3 linked regions of the Drosophila melanogaster genome follow. Changing the gene in region 2 together with the main gene of any one other region gives a genetic interaction. Each region holds a gene or a part of one and is shown on either strand. Other genes may lie near its edges.

Region 1 (5,921 bases), on a different chromosome or scaffold from region 2:
TATTATTTATAAACCCATTATCCTTTGTGCTTGCAGGAAGAAAAAGAAGAAGAAGACGGAGAAGCAGCTGGCTAAGCACGAGAAGTACATCGAAAAGTTGGCGAAACCAAAGAAAGCACCAAAGGTCCCGAAACCGGTAAGTTAAAAAAAAAACTAAATTCAGCTAAAAACTGATGATAATCCCCCATTTCATTTAGGATCGTGGAGCTGGGGAGTTCGATCCCGTGCGTCTCAATCAGCTGGCCAGTCCCAAGGCCTATTTGGAGGAGATCAAACCCAAGTGGGAGCTGACCTCCCAGATGAAGGACTACAAGGCGACCAAGCGGATCAAGCAAATATCGCAGCCCGTCGTGCGCGATAATGTCCACATCAACGAGAATCCGGAGAAGGTCTCGCCCAATGCCCTTCGCTACAAGCGTAAGTACACATACTCCAATTTAGTTGATCTTTTAATAATGCAGCACCTGGCATTGCTTCACTTAGCGAGTGCCCGCATCAAGGAGATGTCCGAGCCACTTACCACGCGCGATGCCAACCAAGGACTGGCGGATGTCAAGGAGAATCCATTCGGTATCGCGCCAAACGCGCTCAAATACAAGGCGAGCACGCGGATCAAGGAGCTGGCGGAGCCCAAGGAGTTCGAGAACACGCATATCCGGGAGAATCCGTTTGCCATATCGCCGGCGGCTCTGAAGGCCAAAGCCTCGCCACGCCTCATCGAGTTGGCCAAGCCCAAGGGTGGATAATAATTGGAGACGGACGTGGACTGTGCGTCTGGATAATCATTACCGTCCTTATTGGTGTTCTAAGTTTTTCATTTCGGCTACATTTGGTATCGACTTTTCTAATAAATTTGTTTTTGGTTTTTTAAAAAACAACTAGAGCTTTTCCGGCTCTTTACGGGATTGGATTTCCTGTGAAAGTGGCGCCGGAGTTGGGAATAGCGATGAAATCTCCTTTGGCCTTTCATTCCAGTCAAAAAAAAGTTTGAGAAATATGTTTGGGTTTTTTTTTTTATCTTTTGTTTGTATTACTTAAAATTTAGACAGCTCGGAACTGACAATGGCTTTTAAATAATAATTAATTTAGATTTGAGTTTATTGTTATCTTTCTCACAGCTCCAGTGGAGTGGGTCCACTCAAAGCCATCCGTTATCAGTTAATTGGTTTAGCAATATCATTTGTTTTCGGTTTTTTTTTTTGTTTTGCTTTTCAACGGGTTAAACATAAAATATAATTCGACCGTAAATTAGCATCTTTGCGAAATCAAAAAGGGGGGGGGGGGGAAATAATACGTAAATAATTACAACATAATCAAGGATCGATGTATTACTGCCAATTGGTAAAACTAAAGAATTCGCAACTTTTGGATTCGGGGCGGGTCTGCAGGCGTTTCAATTGGACTAAACTTAAATATTCGCCGGAAATAATACTCAAATGAATGCACTGAAGACATCGGGACAAATAAAAAAAATTGGACGTAATAGGATAACTAAGAACTTTCAAGGTGTTTCTTTCAACAATTCAAAATTTAGCTGTGGCAACAACAGAAACTGTCTAATGTCGATTATATAAGCGCCAACGTTGTTGCCCATGATGTTGTAGACTTGCTGATCGCGATGCCGGCGATGACAGTGGTGCCCATCTAGGACATGTTCAGGATGATGGCGCGGGTAAAGTCCTGCGTGGTCGATTGTCCGCCCAGATCCTTAGTACGCACCTTGCCATCGTTCAGCACCTTGTTGATGGCATTCTGGATGATCTCGCCGTAGGTGGGCAGGTTGATGTGGCGCAACAGCTTCACGCCGCAGAGCAGCATGGCAGTGGGATTAGCCACGTTCTTGCCCACGGCCTCGGCGAAGGTGTGACGTGCACCCTGCAATCGGAAATCGGTATTAGAGATAAGAATAGTCTGAAGTGGATTCGCACAGCTAGGCTCGAGAACCGTGTAAATCACGATCTTATGGATTATCTTTATGTCTTTATGGCGAATCTTACCGGCTCAAAGACGACGGATTCCGAGGAGTAGGAGGCACCAGCAACGACACCAGCACCGCCCACGAGACCACTGGCCAGATTGTCCACAATGGCACCATAGAGATTGGGGGTGACCATCACGTCGAACTGGTTGGGATTGGAAACCATCTGCATGGTCGTGTTGTCCACGATCATCTTCTCAAACTGGATGCGCGGATAGAGCCGGGAAACCTCTTCGCAGGAGCGTAGGAAGAGACCGTCGCCCAACTTCATGATATTCGCCTTGTGCACGGCGGTGACCTTCTTGCGCTGATTCTTCGTCGCATAGTCGAAGGCGAACTTGGCAATGCGCATGGACTTTTTGGCGGTGATAATCTTCAGGCACTCCACAATGCCGGGCACCGACTCGTGCTCCAACGCCGAATACTCGCCCTCCGTCTGCTCGCGAATAATCACCGTGTCGATGTTGGTGTGGCGGGTCTTGACACCGGGCAAGCTGCGCACATGCACCACATTGGCGTAGAGGTCCAGGTCGTTGCGAAGCTTCATGTTAAGGGTCTGCAGGTCACCCACATTGCTGTAGTCGGGTGTGGCCAAAACGCCCTGAAGGAGCACATTGTTTAGATTTTATCACACTATTTTATTTTCTTGCAAACTTACCTTAATGCACACTTTGTTTTTCTGAATGGATGCCACCACATCCTCCAGTTTGGCACTAAGCACGGGATTGATTTCGGAAAGGAAGTAGCACTCGAAGTCCACGGGAACGCTGGCTGCCTGAACGACAAGATAAGATAATTATGCATATTGATTGGGCTTGAAAAGTTAAAGAATTTACATAGCATTTTTTAATTTAGTCGCACGTATGAACATGTATGTTCAGTTAAAACGGAAATCCCGAAATCTACTAAAATTTTCAAGTAGCAGCCACTTATCACATATCTTTACGATACAGATAAGTTTGATGTTTTGATTTATATAATAAAAACACTCGTGATCGGGAAAAATGGAAGTGTTATCAAATACAATGCGCTCTGTGAAGAGTGAAATATATTAATTAATTTTTAGAGCCCTGTGCTTTTTAAATCTAATAGATTCTAGAAATATGTACATAACTAACTAAACGCCGACTTGCTTAAAAAAAGCTTTTCTATTAAATAGGAAACCAAGCTGGCAATGATCCTAAGCTTAAATAACCTTTTTTTTAAGAGAGATCAAGAGACGCAAGAGTATAGATTTATAAGAATTAGGACGCATTGGAATACTGTATGTGAATGATTGCAACTTGATGGATGGTTAGCTACCTTGAAGACCTCCTGGAGGGAGTAGACCAGCTCGGGACCCACACCGTCGCCGGGAATCAGTGTGCAGGTGGTCCTGTTGGCGCCGTAGTTATCCTGCAAGACCAATTATTTTCCGGTTACAACTGGTGCCACTTAATAAGCGCATTTAACACTCACCGTAGCCCGTAGCGTCGACGTGGTGTGCAGACTACGTGCTGCCGCAGCCTAAAACGAGAAGAATGCAATGTAATCGTTAAGGCTGGCTAGGATTATAACCTCAAAAAAAAAAAAAAGAAACGTATAAGAACTAGGCCTCAGCGCAGAAATATTCGCACAGCGCGTCGCGAGCAAGTGTTTATGTAAGAGCTGCGGTTTGGATGGCCGTTTACCTGCATGAACGTCCGTCCAACTGTTCTCGCCAGCATCGACATTTTGCTATTCGGTTAGCTAGATCTTCCCGGCTGTTGATCCAAACTCAAAAGTGTGTCCTTTGGCCACGCGAAATTTTTGATTGCGATGTGATTTTTGCTCCGGTGCCAAACCGAAAAATTTCAATAGGACCAAATCGACCACGCAAACCAGCTGATTGCCTCTGACTACCAGGGCTGGCGATAGCCGCCCACGAAACTGGCGCGTCCAGTGCTGGCTAACGACCAACTATCGCGATTTTGGCGTTCGAAAATTAGTAACGAACATATACGATTATTTAAGGAATAAATTTGGCGGCAACCGCATAGTAACCTGTTTTTGAATACATTTGCCTTGCCTACCATGCTTTCTTTTCAGAACAGAGAAATTAAATTTAGCCAATGCATTTTATTTGAATTTTGACATTCAGCATACTTTTTAGTCAACTTATTTATTATATTAATTTTTTTCGCTAAATTAAACAACAAGTGGATGTTCTTTATGTTTATTTATGGCCTAATCACATTGTTCTTCAGAAACACAAAGCTTGCCAATTTCAGCTTTAGTAATATATCATATTCCATTCATGCCTTGGTATCGAATTTTTTACAAATCTTCCCAGAGTATTTATGTTTTGGATTTTATAATGATGGTTTCTATGTTTAATTTGTATAATTGAAGCTAAACAAAATGTTACAAATATATGTATATAAGTGCTATTTCGTTTCAACTGTGATCGCTAATTGGACAAATTACATATTGTTGGTAATCGTACCATCTTCTCCTGGACTAATAACAAATAGTAAGTGTATCATCTTGTTTCTGAAGGAAGGGGACACGGGACGTAGTCTACAAATACAATAGTCCGCTGGCAGCGGCGTGAGCCATCAAGGTGTTGGCCGCCTGCTGAGTCTCCAGCATGAGGCGAGCCTCCTTCATCCACTCGCCGGCAATCTTGCGCGATGCACCCTGCAGCAGATTCATGTACTTGAGCGCCTGCAGAAAGTCGCTGCGATCCACATGGTACCTGTGAAACATAATATATATAATATATATTATATAACTCTAGTGATAGATGAATCAATCGCCTCACCTGGCCCTGTTTAGGATATCGTAGGTGTCCAGTTTGCTATAGTCGAAGGGTTTGTTCTCGAGTTCGTCCTTGGATATGGGATTATCGGGTCGCAAGATGAACAGCGATTGCAGATAGGACAGGAAGTAGATGGGCAGGCCGGCTCCTTCCTCGGGCACCAAAGCCAATCGTCGCGCCACGCGCTCCACATTCAGGAAACGCTCGCGCAATGCATCTTCTGGATAGACACCGCGCTCCTGAGCCTCCTTCGGGACGCTTTCCAGCACAGCGGCCACCAGGTCGTCACCCTCTGTAAGCATATGCATTTAGCAACTGAAATCGAAATGTGGGAAACGTTTCAACTTACTAGCCACCTTGGCAATGGCATTGATCTCGTTCTTTAACGGGCGCAACCTATCCTTATAGTGCACGCCAGGAGTGGCAGCGCGCACGGAGGCCCACAGAGCTTGGCAGGCGGCCCAAAGGGCCTGCGCCTGATTGGCAGTACGCTCTGCATCCGCACGCTCTGCAAAAATGTTGCATATAATGTCAATAAACATTTTGATTAAACCAAGAATAAGTTGGTATAAGTACTACCCTTCATATAGGGTGAATATACCTTGAAACTCATCCTCTATCTCTAATATAGCAGCATGTTTTGAAAAGGTTTGAAAACCATTATATATCTAGCCACGCTACACTAGCTACATTCAACCGATATCGTTTAAAACGTATAACTTACCTGCCAGAGCCGCGTCCATTCCGCGCAGCTTGCCGAGCATCCCGGCCAATTGTAACTTATAGTTGGCCTTTTCGGTCGCCAGCTTATCCTCAAGTTCACGCTTAAAGCTTCGCGTCAGATCGGTCTCCCGCTGCGCCACGATGTCCTTTATATGATCGGCGTGGGCCTCTGCTTGCTTTTTGAGCTGCAAGCGCAGCAGCTTATCAGACTCGGCGTGGATGTGGAAGATTTTCTTTTGATTTTCCACGGCCAGTTTGCGCCGCTCGGCCTCCAAATGGTATTCCAGTTGGGCGCGCAAAGCCTCCGAATCGTTGTCACCGCGAACCGAGTCAATAGCTCTCTTCAGGCGCAGCTCACCATCGGTTTGCAAGCGCTGCAGCTCCTTCTGGTAGGCCAGGACATGGGTGTAGGCGTGCAGGATGAACAAGTCTAGGTCCTCC
Region 2 (5,598 bases):
TGCTCATGGATGTTGTCGTTGTGGGCGTTGCAGTGCCTATTGTGCGTGCAATCGATCCTGATCCCGATCCCGATCCCGATCCTGAACCCGATGCCGATCCAGAGCCCGGCCCTGTGGTCGTAGTGGTGCTAATGTGGCCATCATCCTTGCCCACCTGCACCTCAAAGTCCAACAATTGGGCCGTTGTGGAGGACAGGAAGTTGCTGGTGGAAACGGAAGTCGACGAATTGACTTCAAGTGGTTTCAATTGATGATATTCGACGGGCGGCACAATTATGCTACTGTTGTTGCCATTTGGATTTTGGGGATTCTTTTGCAACAGGGCGGGATCAATGCACTCGTTGGCGCTGCGATGGGTGGGAAATAGAATATTGGCAAACGATGGCATCGTCACAGATTCGATGATCACCGAATTGCCGTTCGATGGCCTCACTGTCTTAGCCTCCACGTTGTTGTTATTGTTATTGTTAGTGTTGTTATTATTGTTGTTGTTGGTAGTGGTAGTTGTTGCAGCTGTGGCAGTGCCCATTAGTGTCATGTTGCTATTGCTGTGGGGATTTGGACTGGCCACAAAGAAACGATCGCACAAGCCGCTCAAGGAGATGCCTCCATCCAGTTGACTGGCATCGATCGTTTGCAATGAACTGAAGTTATCGGCATTTGCCGATGTTGTTGCCGCCTCAACTGCTGCTGCTGCTGCTGCAGGTCCTATTGTTGCAGTTGCATCCTTCTGTTGCAACTGCAAGTGTGAATAGAATGGCAGCATGGGCGAACTGCCCGCCGCCAGCATTTGATCCTTGTGATGATGGGGCATTAGGAGTTGCTGCTGCTGCTGCTGCTGATGTGAATGTTGCTGCTGATGCTGATGTTGCAGGTGGTGATGATTGCTGGTAGCTTCTGTTGCATAGTTGGTGTTGCTGCTCTCCGCCAGCATAGGTACATTGAAGGTATCCATTTTATGAATAATATAATTTAACTTTTATTTTTTGTACGTTTCGTTGTGATGTGTGGTATTTGTTTTGTTGATTCTTAATGGCAGGTAACGATAGTAGTTGTAAGTTTATAATTGCTTTAAAGACCTGAAAATGGTAATAAAGCAGATTATTAGTAATCAAAAAAAAATTCTAAGCGTTTTTAAAGCCGTCTAAACCAAAAATCAATCCGTTCTAGTAATAAATATTAATTTTCAGGAAGTAGGACAAGGATTTCAAAGGCCTAGGTTAATGCAAGGTCAGGTTGAAGGTCAGGTCGCAGAGAATGTGGGCCAAGGAAAGGCCTAATGGTATTTGAAGCAGGCCAAGGTCAACTCTTTGTGGGGAGAGAAAGCTTTCAAAGCTTTTTCTGTACCACTTCAATGTCCACCCAATTTATTATGTTATATTTCAGTTTTTTTATAATTCTACTATTTAATTATTGTTTAGGGTTTTTAACTAAATCGTCGAAAGTCCACAATATATACCTCCGTAGAGCTTAGGAGTGCCTAAACTATTTTTATCAGTATCAATGCAATTTCACCAATAAACCGATGTTTAAAAATTAAATTTCAAAATAGACGTCGAGAATCTTTAATTTAAAAATTGAAAAATAAAGTTTTTTTAAAAATGCAATTGTTTTACAAGATTACAAAAATTAATAAAAAAAAAAAAAGTTAATGCATTAAAAGCATCTTTAACCAAATTATTTTTTCCGAGTAGATAAAATCCATTTAAAAATTAACACGCTAAATTGTTTATTCCCCCATTTACAGTAATTTTCCAGTTCGCGAAACAGACAACTGGAAAGATTCCCCCATTTTTTTAAGCCCTGTGTTACCCTTTTTAACGATACTTTAATTAACTTCACTCGACTTCAAGTTCTTCACTTTTCGTGCTTGAATCTCACCAACCCTCGGGTAATCCACGGAAAAAAATTGAGCAAATGACATTAACTTTATATTTAATATTTTAAAAGAAAAATATCTTAGTGGAAAATACGAGAAAATGTATAAAAAAAAACTATAAAAAGCTATAAACTGCTGATACAATTTTCAGTTTATTATCCAAATTTTTAAAACCACATTAATTTTTGTAAAAAATATATATATAATGATCCCAGTAAAATTTATTTAAACAAACAAAAAGGTGATTTTATTTAAAAAGTTTTCTTATAATGATGGTTTTTAAATCAAATTCGTGTCAAAACTGTATTTCATTCCGTGCTCCTACTTCCCATTAAAGATGGTAAGTGCAGTAAAATAAAGCTCACCCAACTAGACAAAATGGAAAAGGAGGTTTTTGGGGGGTAAAAGGTGAGCGAGAGGAAGTCGTGCAGCGGGGAGAATTGAGAATTTACCTTTCATGCAGCTGACGTCGTTGTTTTTCCTTTTGTAGTTCTGTGTGTTGCGCATGCGCCCGGTTCCATGAATTCCAAGACGAAGATCGCGGAAGAAGAAGAAGCGCTGGAAGCTGTCCGTCTCTCTCTTTCTCCGTCTCTTCCCCTCTCGCTTTTTATGTATACAAAAACCAGTTGGAAGCGAAAGCAAAAGTTCTATTATTATGTCTTGGTCTTCTTGCTGTTTCTGTTTTTGTAGCCGTAGCTGGTCTCCCTCTCTCTCGCTGTCTCTGTCTCGCTCTCAGTGTGGGAATTCGCATGTGTGGAGAACGGAACGCGAATTTATAATTCGCAAAACAAAGCTTGTGTGTGATTCATTTCGCCGATCGTAGTCGCTGTTGCCGTTGTTGTTGTTGTTGCTATTTCTCCCGATCGCATCTCTCGGCGTCTCGTTCTCTTTTGCTCTCGCTCTCCGAAAGCTCTTTCAGCATATTTCAGAACACGCACACACACGCGACGCCAAACGCATTTGGCAATTTATTTATATTTTTTTTTATTTATTTCTTTTATTTATTTTGCATTTATTGCCATTTACTCTTCCTCTATTCTCGGCGATTTCCTCTTCCCGATTTCGAACGCACACCAAGAACTTCTTGCACAATCGTCGCACGCGCGCAACAAGCGAAAGCTCTCAGAAACAACAACTATAAATTGCAATTCCTGCTACGCACACACTGACACGCTCGCACCGCACATACATATATACACACATGTACTGGGGTTCCACTGGGCACTCTGTGTTGTTGTTTTTCCGCTTGGCTTTTGCTAATTTTGCCTTGTTTTTGCTTCTGCTCCAATTCTATGACACAACGCTATCTTCCCACTTTGTGTTAATTTTTATACACAATTGCACACCAAAATTGGGGTTTGGTAAACGGATAGGCAATGACGGGGGCGCGGGCGACGATTGGAAACCAGAACACACTCCCGTTATGGACGCATCGGAAATATTAAATATATACGTATGTACACACACATAATTAACGCCAGAGCTGTTCTTCTTTTCGCTTTTGTTTACTTTCACTCTTACTTTCTTGGCTATCGCTCACTTTCAGCTATTGTTTATTCGCTGGCTTCACTTTTTCGGGAAAAACTATTCCGCACGCAAAAATTAGGTCTCGAGCGAAATTAGGTCGAACTCGAACGGGAACACAACACACAGTAAAAGTTTGTTGGCGTAGGTAGAAGAAGACCGAAAGCCCTCGCGCATACACGCACACACACATGCGCGGTCGGGATAGTGTTGGATCACCGGAGCGAAGAGCGGGGCCAAGGACAGAGAGGCAGCATTCTTGGCCTTTAAAAATCGTTTGAAGAACAAGGACGGCAATCATATGAAAACCGGAAAGCTTTCAGCTGAAAGCACTCACATGCACGCACACCCGCGTTTAGCGCACCGCTCGTGCGGCGAGCTTTTGAGAGCGACATCTGCCGGAACCTATCGCCAAGTTATCGATAGATCGTAAATTCAAAACTGTGGCGGTTTGTCAATGAAATATTACATAAATTTTAATAAGCAATAAAAAATACAATGAGATTATCTAGTTCAAATAATTGCAAATTTAAAAGGAAAAGAAGAAGACGAATTTAAATATTCACAAGATATAATTATACTTTTTCAAAAGAATGGGCCCTCTAAGTATATTTAAGTACTTATCTAAGACCTTACCTGTTCAGTCATCTATTATTATATATAAATAACCTTTTAAACCAATTTTGAAGAATCGTTTAATAAAAGCTTGGATCGATATTTGTTTTCAAATGCCAGGAGATTGTTAAAATTTTGAAGTGAAACCGCACTTTTAAATTGTCAAAATTTCACTTTGCATTTATTTTGTTTTTCATTATTAGTTTTTTTTTTTTTGTTAAATTTCTTCAGTTTTTTGTGGTTTCCTTTTATAGTTGCACAAAACTTACACACGTACATTACATAGAAAATTACAAACCTATCTGAAAATTGATTTACATTGTAGTTGGATCATATTGTGTATACATATACTTTATATATTATGTTAATAATTTCATTTAAAAATACATAATACATAAATACGCCTTTGTTGCTTCTTTAATATTATTACAATAATTATTATTTAGTTTATACTTTAGCTAGATTGTTTTGTTTTTTTAAAAACCATAGATTACACTTCATCCCTAGATTTATCTGTAAGTATATATCAATTTATTAGCTGATTGGCTGGCATACATTTTCCGTTCGTTTCCTCGTTTCTAACTGCCTTGCATTGTTTTCTTCTACTTTTATTGCATAATTGCAGCCAATCCCTAAAGATTCCAGATTTTCTCAATATTCTCGCTCTAAAATTTCCATTCATTTCCTTTTTCTTCGTTTTGAGTGTGTATAGCACCTTTGTATCACTTTGCATTAGCTCTAAATTTAATTTCCTTTATAAAATCCTTTATCTTCCAAAGACAAAGACGTGTGAGTAAAAACTAGTTACTAGCTAAAATATACATATGTATAGTATATAAATCTACTATTATATTCGTACTAATAGTTTTTCCATATTTGTTTGCACTTTACACTCTATGTTCAGTTAGTACTATGCTCATCCATTCATCATTATCTAATTTATATCTTTCTGGATCTTGCCCCGTCCAATCGCTAAAGATATCTCGGTTAAAATTTCATTAAAATGGTCTTAACGCCCAACAAGTTCCGTACACTGTCGTTGTATTTGATGAGCACAACCTTCGACGAACTGAACATGTTCAGCTTTTCACCGGCGCACAACAGCTGCAGGCAGGTGGCTTTCTCCAGGAAATCATCTATCTTGAACTCCCGTAGCAGGTGCTTCTGACTGCTGGCCAAGGCATTGCTGTTGTTCGGACAGAGCTAAAAAAAAAATAACAAGATTTTGTTATAAGTTCATTTAAATATCGCATCTAAATGGCACATACCTTGTTAAGCAACGTATCCTTCGATTTAACTTTAAGTAAATTGCACAAATCATTGAGTAGTACCCATTTATCACTGCCCTCGTCTTTGAGCAAGTACAGTGGTGGCAAGGGCACATCGGCCTCTTCAAATTCAAAAATATCACCATTCAATTCACTATCCATTGTCTCGATGTCCGTCTGATCCTCGTCTAGCCTAGTGCTACTATTCGTATTTGCTTTCGCATTCGTTTCCGTTTCCGCTTCTGTTTCAGCTTCAGCTTCCACTTCCTTCTTCACTTCATTCTTGACATTCACAACGCTTGTTACTAAATT
Region 3 (5,618 bases), on a different chromosome or scaffold from region 2:
CGTCGGCGGATGGAGATGGCCAGTGCGTGAGCGGGAGCGAGTGACTGCGGGTGACTAACCCACTGCAGTTTCAATTAGAACAAACGACATCGACAAGTTCAATGTGATCATTTCGCCTTCGCAGTCGCTGTTTTCTGCCTTCTGCCTTCGACGTCGGCGTCTACGCCGTCAGGTTGTTGTCGAGGTTGTTGGCTGCCTGCGACTCCGTTTGCGCCGCCTAGAGGTTAATGCCGGTTGTAATTGCAAAGCACCCAACCCGAAACCGGAGACCCAACAAAGGAGCGGAGCTTAGAGCGACTACAGTGGTCCCTGCCCGCGCGACTCGCCTCTTTCTGGCTAATCTGTGACTCGGTGACATTTGCGATGATCTTGAAACAACCATAAACCGAACGAGACGCAGCAATAAAGGCATTATGGGTACGTAGGTAATGTTGTGTATATGGTACGTGTAGATACATTTATACGTTTATGAATCGGCAAGAGGTCACTGCAGACAGGGAAACCTTAACAAAACAACACTCAAGACAATTCTTGAAAAATGCTAACGTGAGTGCGAGACCAGCAGAATTAAAAAACCAAAATCGCCACGCATGAATCTAAAAAATAAAAAAACCAAAAACAGCTCATAAAAATATCGGCGACAACAACAAGGGGATGCAGCAGTAAAATAAAAACGCTGCAAAAACAATTAAATTCGGACAAAAAAAAAAACTGGCAAACAAGATGCAAGTGGCAACAAGTTTCTCAGACTCAGTCGCTCAGTTTCTCCTCAGGGCCAGCAAATCTTCGCTCTGCAGTCTTCGGTCTTAAGTCTTTGTGCGTGCCAGGAGGTGGGGCGGGGGAGCAGGGAAATGGGAATCTGGGTTATGGCAAACAGGGGAGCCATGTAATAAAATGCGGTAATGGTAATGGTAATGGTAACCAAAATATTAAACAACTCTTCACCAACATCAGCAGAAAATGCAATTCCAAAGGGTGACGCAAGGGAGGGAAGGCAGGGGAAGGCCCTAAAAACAGGCCGACTTTGGATTTGGGTTTGCGTTTGGGATGGGGCTCGAAATGTGGGCTACACTTTCAATTGGAACCCTCTGTGGGGGTATGGTGGGAAGGGGGTACAGGCGGGTCGTGAAATCGGGCAATTCCGAGCCGAAGACGCACGACGATATTCTGCCTAAAAAAAAAAACGCTCCGATCGCCGCCGACTTTGTGTGCGTATGTACCGCTTTCTGTATCTTTGGAGTTACATAGGGGGAAAGTTGCATATTCCCCTACCCGTTCCCATTCCCCTTACCCCTCTCGCTCCATATCACTCTATTTACAATTTGCCGCTGCCGATCTGCGGATCTGCCCCAAACATTCGCGTTTGTAATTGCATCGGTGTGTGGGCGGCGCTCGTTGATTCGTTCGCTCGCCGACGACTTTGCATTTCATTTCCCCCAATTTTGTCGGCCTGACAATGAATAAACAAAACTTCTAAATGGGCAATACCAGAAAACACAACAGAATATACGGACAGCAGAAAAAAAAATAATAAAAAAACCACAACCACACACATGGAACCCCCGAAAAAAACGCAATTTTCGCTTGCTCGGCTTCGCCGCCGTCGCATGCGCAGAAAATTTGCTCGTTTTTTTGGCGACTGCGCTGCAGGCAGCGCTGTAAACTGCAGCGATCGGATCGAGTTGATCGCAGAACGCAGATCGCAGATCGCAGATCGCACTGCTGCCGCTGCCGCCGCCGTCGACGTCGCTGCACTCCAAAAAAGCGAAGGAAACACACAATCGCACACGAGAAGTATATAACAAAAAAGCGAGCAAATAAGGCAAAAAGTAAAAAGTAAAAAGCAAGAAGCGAAAAAAGCGAATGAAACATACAGGCGGCATAAGTATATACACACACACACATATATATCACAAACACTGGTGCACAGCGAATTCTCTGATTCAATTGGGCAGACGCACACACTCGCGCACACACCAATACACACGCACACTGGCAGAGGGCAGCGGCACAAGCCCAACACATTTAACTGCATTTTTTCGGAACTCAGTTGAGCTTTTTAATTCGATCGGTTCAGTTACTAAAGTTAGTTCAGCCTAAACGCACAATTTCAATTTCCATTTCTAAGTTTGAGCCCGAATTGAATAGCATTAGTGCCCACCCCACGCCTACCCTCGCACCACCGCACCAACGCACCACAGCAGTATCCAACACACACACGAGGACTGGACAATTCCCTCTGTTCTATTTTTTTGTGTTTTTTGTCAAGTGCACCCAAGCAAAGACCAAAGGACGCAAACCATCTAGTGCGCGATTCGCGCGCGTTTTGAATCAAAAGAATCTAAGAATCCAAGAATAGCTAAATCACTGAATCGCAGAATCAGGAGCGGAAAAAGCGAAAGCCAACCCCAAAAACCCAAAGCCCCAAAAGTTCAAGTGAATAATCAGTGTGCATCCCCAAGTAGTCGACCCAATGAAGCGCCGCCATGAGCAAGGATGCACCTACTGAGCGCAACTACAACCGCACCATCCAGGTAAGGGTTTCCTACATCCCATCCGACCCCATCCGCTTTGCTTTGTAGGGCAAACCGAACGTGCTGGAAGCTCCTTGATCTAGGGGCAGAGGGAGCCTAGCATCCAGATCTATATCGACATACACACACACACACATCCATATTCTCACACACGGTTGCAGGTACAGATACACACTGAAATTTGATTCGGATTCGTGGCCCGATCCATAAGAAGGACATTTGAGTCATCCGATGCAGCTGCCTGCTCTCTCCCTCTCTGCCTTTGGGCTCGGCTCTCCTCATTAGCACTTTGATGAAGAGTCACAAAAGCGGACGGACCGGGCCTAGACCCCTCCCTTCGAACTGTCCAAAAATTTCGGTGCATCTGCATACAAAGGCACACAAAGACGCACAGAGTGTACGGATACAGATACAGATACAGATGCAGCTACATATACATATACAGATACAGACACATATACTGTTACAGATACAGATGCACTGCAGGAAGCAGGGCAGCACAGTAGCCTCAGTCGCCTCTTTCAGCCCCGTTTCAGCTTCTCCACCCCTGGACTCTGCGCTGCATTGTTCCACTTCTACACTTCCACACTTCCCCACTTCCCCACTTCCCCACTTGTCCGCTACCCGCCACTCCTCGCTTTTTCGGCTGCAGTCTGTCAGTCAGACTGAGGCTTCGTGAAGCTCACGGCCAAGGCGAAGGCAGCTGAGGATCTGCACTCGGCCGAACACGAAGGCCGGTTGGGCAGGGTTCGGGAACGATCGAAAGCCAGCCCGAAACGGCGGAACTGCAGTTTGCTGTTCAGCGTCGCACTGAGCAAACGTCGTGTGGCAGCTCATCGCCAATTGCGAATTGCAAACTGCAAACTGAGTACCGTAAATCGCTCGCGCAAAGTGCAAGTCGCGCTGAATTCGCAAGTTCACATAATATCGGCATCCGCATATCCGCATATCTGTATATCTGCACATCCGCAAGCAGCTTGCTTCCACGCCAATTTTGTTTTCGTTGCGTTTATATTTTTTTTTCTGTTGATGTTTCTCGTTATATACATAGTATCCTTTTAGCAACCCACTCAGGCTTTTGCTGATTCTATTTCGATCGCAATCGGTCTCAGGAATCAATCTCAGGATTAGCTCTACGGCAGGTAAGTCACGTGAGGAGCGGTGGTGTTTCTGAAACTTTTGCTTTCAATGGGTTTGCTTCTGGAACTGGGCCAACAGCGAGACTCAAATGGCCAGACAGGCACGCAGTCAAGCGGTTTGGTGACAGGGTCCCCACTACTCCTGCTGCTTCTCCTGCTCCACCCACCGATCTGTAGGAAAGGTGGTAACGCCAGCTTCTTCTTTTTGTTCTCCCAGTTGTTAGGGCGACCCAGACCCAGACCGAGACCCAGACGAGTCACTCAAACGACAACAACACTCCGCCGTCCCCATTTCTATCCCCATCCACAACCATCATCAGCCATTCCCATTCCCCATCTGCAAGCCACAAAGACCGGCACCCATACACTCGCACACTGGCGCACTCACACGGACATGGGCACAGGCACAGTCACAGCAAGGTGACGTAATGGCAACTACTCCACTAACACATTTTTCTGCATTCCTGCAACGCGAGGAAGAGGAGGAAAAGAAGCGGTGGGGGCGGGGTGGGAAAGTCGCGCGACGAGAGAAAAACTGAATGAAAATTGCAGGCAGCCAACGAAGCGTGCCTAGCAAAAAGGAAGAGCGAAAAAAGCATAAAACGACAGAAACTAGAGACGCAGCCAGACTACGCCACAGCCAGAGCCACAGTCAGAGCCAGGAGGGGCTGGGGGTGTGGGGAACACACGTGGGACGTGCTGTGAAGCTCGGGATGCGAATGTGGTGGCTGGTGGCTGTCGGATAGCTGGATGCTAGGAAAACAGAGGCGGCGGAGACAGAGGAGACGGAGGAGATGGAGATGGAGGAGACTCGCCAAAGTGGTGGCCCCGACTAGACGCTGTCTGCGTACTGTGTCTGTGCCTGTGCCTGTGTCAGTGTCTGTGTATTAGGATGTCTGCGTGTGCGTGCTAGCCATCTGTGTGCGACTGGCCGACATTCAAGGTTGTCGGCGCATAACTTGTTGTTGCCGCACTGCAATTGTTGCTGCCACAGATTGTAAATGCTGCAAATGCAGTGCGGCAAGGGCACAAGTGCCCACTCCAGTGCCAGCTTGAGTTCCAGGAAGCTTATGAGTGGAGCAACAGTAAAAGGACATCCGAACCGGGGTAACGGCCTGGGCGACCCACTTGGGGCTAGTGGTAATCAGAGGCTCAGAGACAGAAGCGGGCAGTTAGAGAAACTGCACAACAGACTAGCAACCAGTAGCACTTCCGTTAGCCTTGAAGCCCAATCAACTGGAATCAACTGGAAACTGCGGCCAATTGAGAGCCGCATCGCCACAAGTGGACAAAGCACGCAGACGAGCAGCAGCAGCTCCCCAGAGTTTCAGTTGCCAGCTCTCCACTCACACTCACATGACTCATGTTCTAGCAACGGAGCACTTGTTTGGGTGCAACAGCAGCCACAAATGCATCCGTCGCAGTAACAAATAGGGATCACGATGATGATCATGATGAGCACGATCAGCGTAATGATCGTGTCATTCAAGGCCGCCGCAAATTGCGAGCGGTGAGTCGAGGAGTTGCAAAATAAACACAGAAAACATCAGACACAAACGCGAATGCGAAGAGCCAACAGACGAGGACAGGGACATACAAAGTGCATAGTTATCGCTATAGACATATAGACACATGGACATACATATAGGCGAGTTCCCAAGTTCTCGGAAACGGTTACTCCAAGGCCAAAAGCCGGATAGACAAACAAATGGGACAGGCACAAAGGCTAGGAGATAACTCTTCTCCAGTTTTCCCCTTTTGCCTCTGCCTCTGTCTCTGTCACCCTCGCGTTCTTCGTTCTCCGTTCTCGATTCTCCGCGCTCAATTCTCAATTCTCCTTTCTTCTGCGACCTGCCTCTGCTTCATTCGCGATGTTTCTATTTCTGCCCCGGCACAGGAGACAGCCAATTGAAGATGGAAGACAAGTACGCCAAAGATTTTGAAA

The links.
Region 1: of ftz-f1 (region 2) and Idh3b, changing one suppresses a phenotype caused by changing the other (phenotypic suppression), as found in Drosophila melanogaster (one study listed by BioGRID).
Region 3: of ftz-f1 (region 2) and br, changing one suppresses a phenotype caused by changing the other (phenotypic suppression), as found in Drosophila melanogaster (one study listed by BioGRID).

Annotation. Positions count from the first base shown.
Region 1 is NT_033777.3:22,015,344-22,021,264, forward strand, and holds Idh3b (isocitrate dehydrogenase 3b), read right to left. Parts: upstream 3,842-5,921; 5' UTR 3,691-3,841; coding exon 3,649-3,690; intron 3,485-3,648; coding exon 3,437-3,484; intron 3,374-3,436; coding exon 3,281-3,373; intron 2,754-3,280; coding exon 2,637-2,753; intron 2,580-2,636; coding exon 1,998-2,579; intron 1,876-1,997; coding exon 1,645-1,875; 3' UTR 1,048-1,644; downstream 1-1,047. Other genes in the region: Theg (testicular haploid expressed gene), read left to right, coding at 37-136, 198-417, 484-746; mitofilin, read right to left, coding at 4,517-4,694, 4,761-5,049, 5,107-5,265, 5,359-5,379, 5,482-5,921.
Region 2 is NT_037436.4:18,797,777-18,803,374, forward strand, and holds the start of ftz-f1 (ftz transcription factor 1), read right to left. Parts: upstream 3,534-5,598; 5' UTR 2,332-3,533; intron 1,080-2,331; 5' UTR 956-1,079; coding exon 1-955. Other genes in the region: CG14073 (uncharacterized protein), read right to left, coding at 5,006-5,221, 5,287-5,598. UniProt on the Drosophila melanogaster protein: Acts as a cofactor to fushi tarazu (ftz). Facilitates the binding of ftz to DNA. Binds the sequence element 5'-YCYYGGYCR-3' in the zebra element of ftz. Probably functions as a nuclear receptor for a yet unknown ligand.
Region 3 is NC_004354.4:1,610,270-1,615,887, forward strand, and holds the start of br (broad), read left to right. Parts: upstream 1-2,071; 5' UTR 2,072-2,534; intron 2,535-3,387; exon of another isoform or gene 3,388-3,676; intron 3,677-5,618.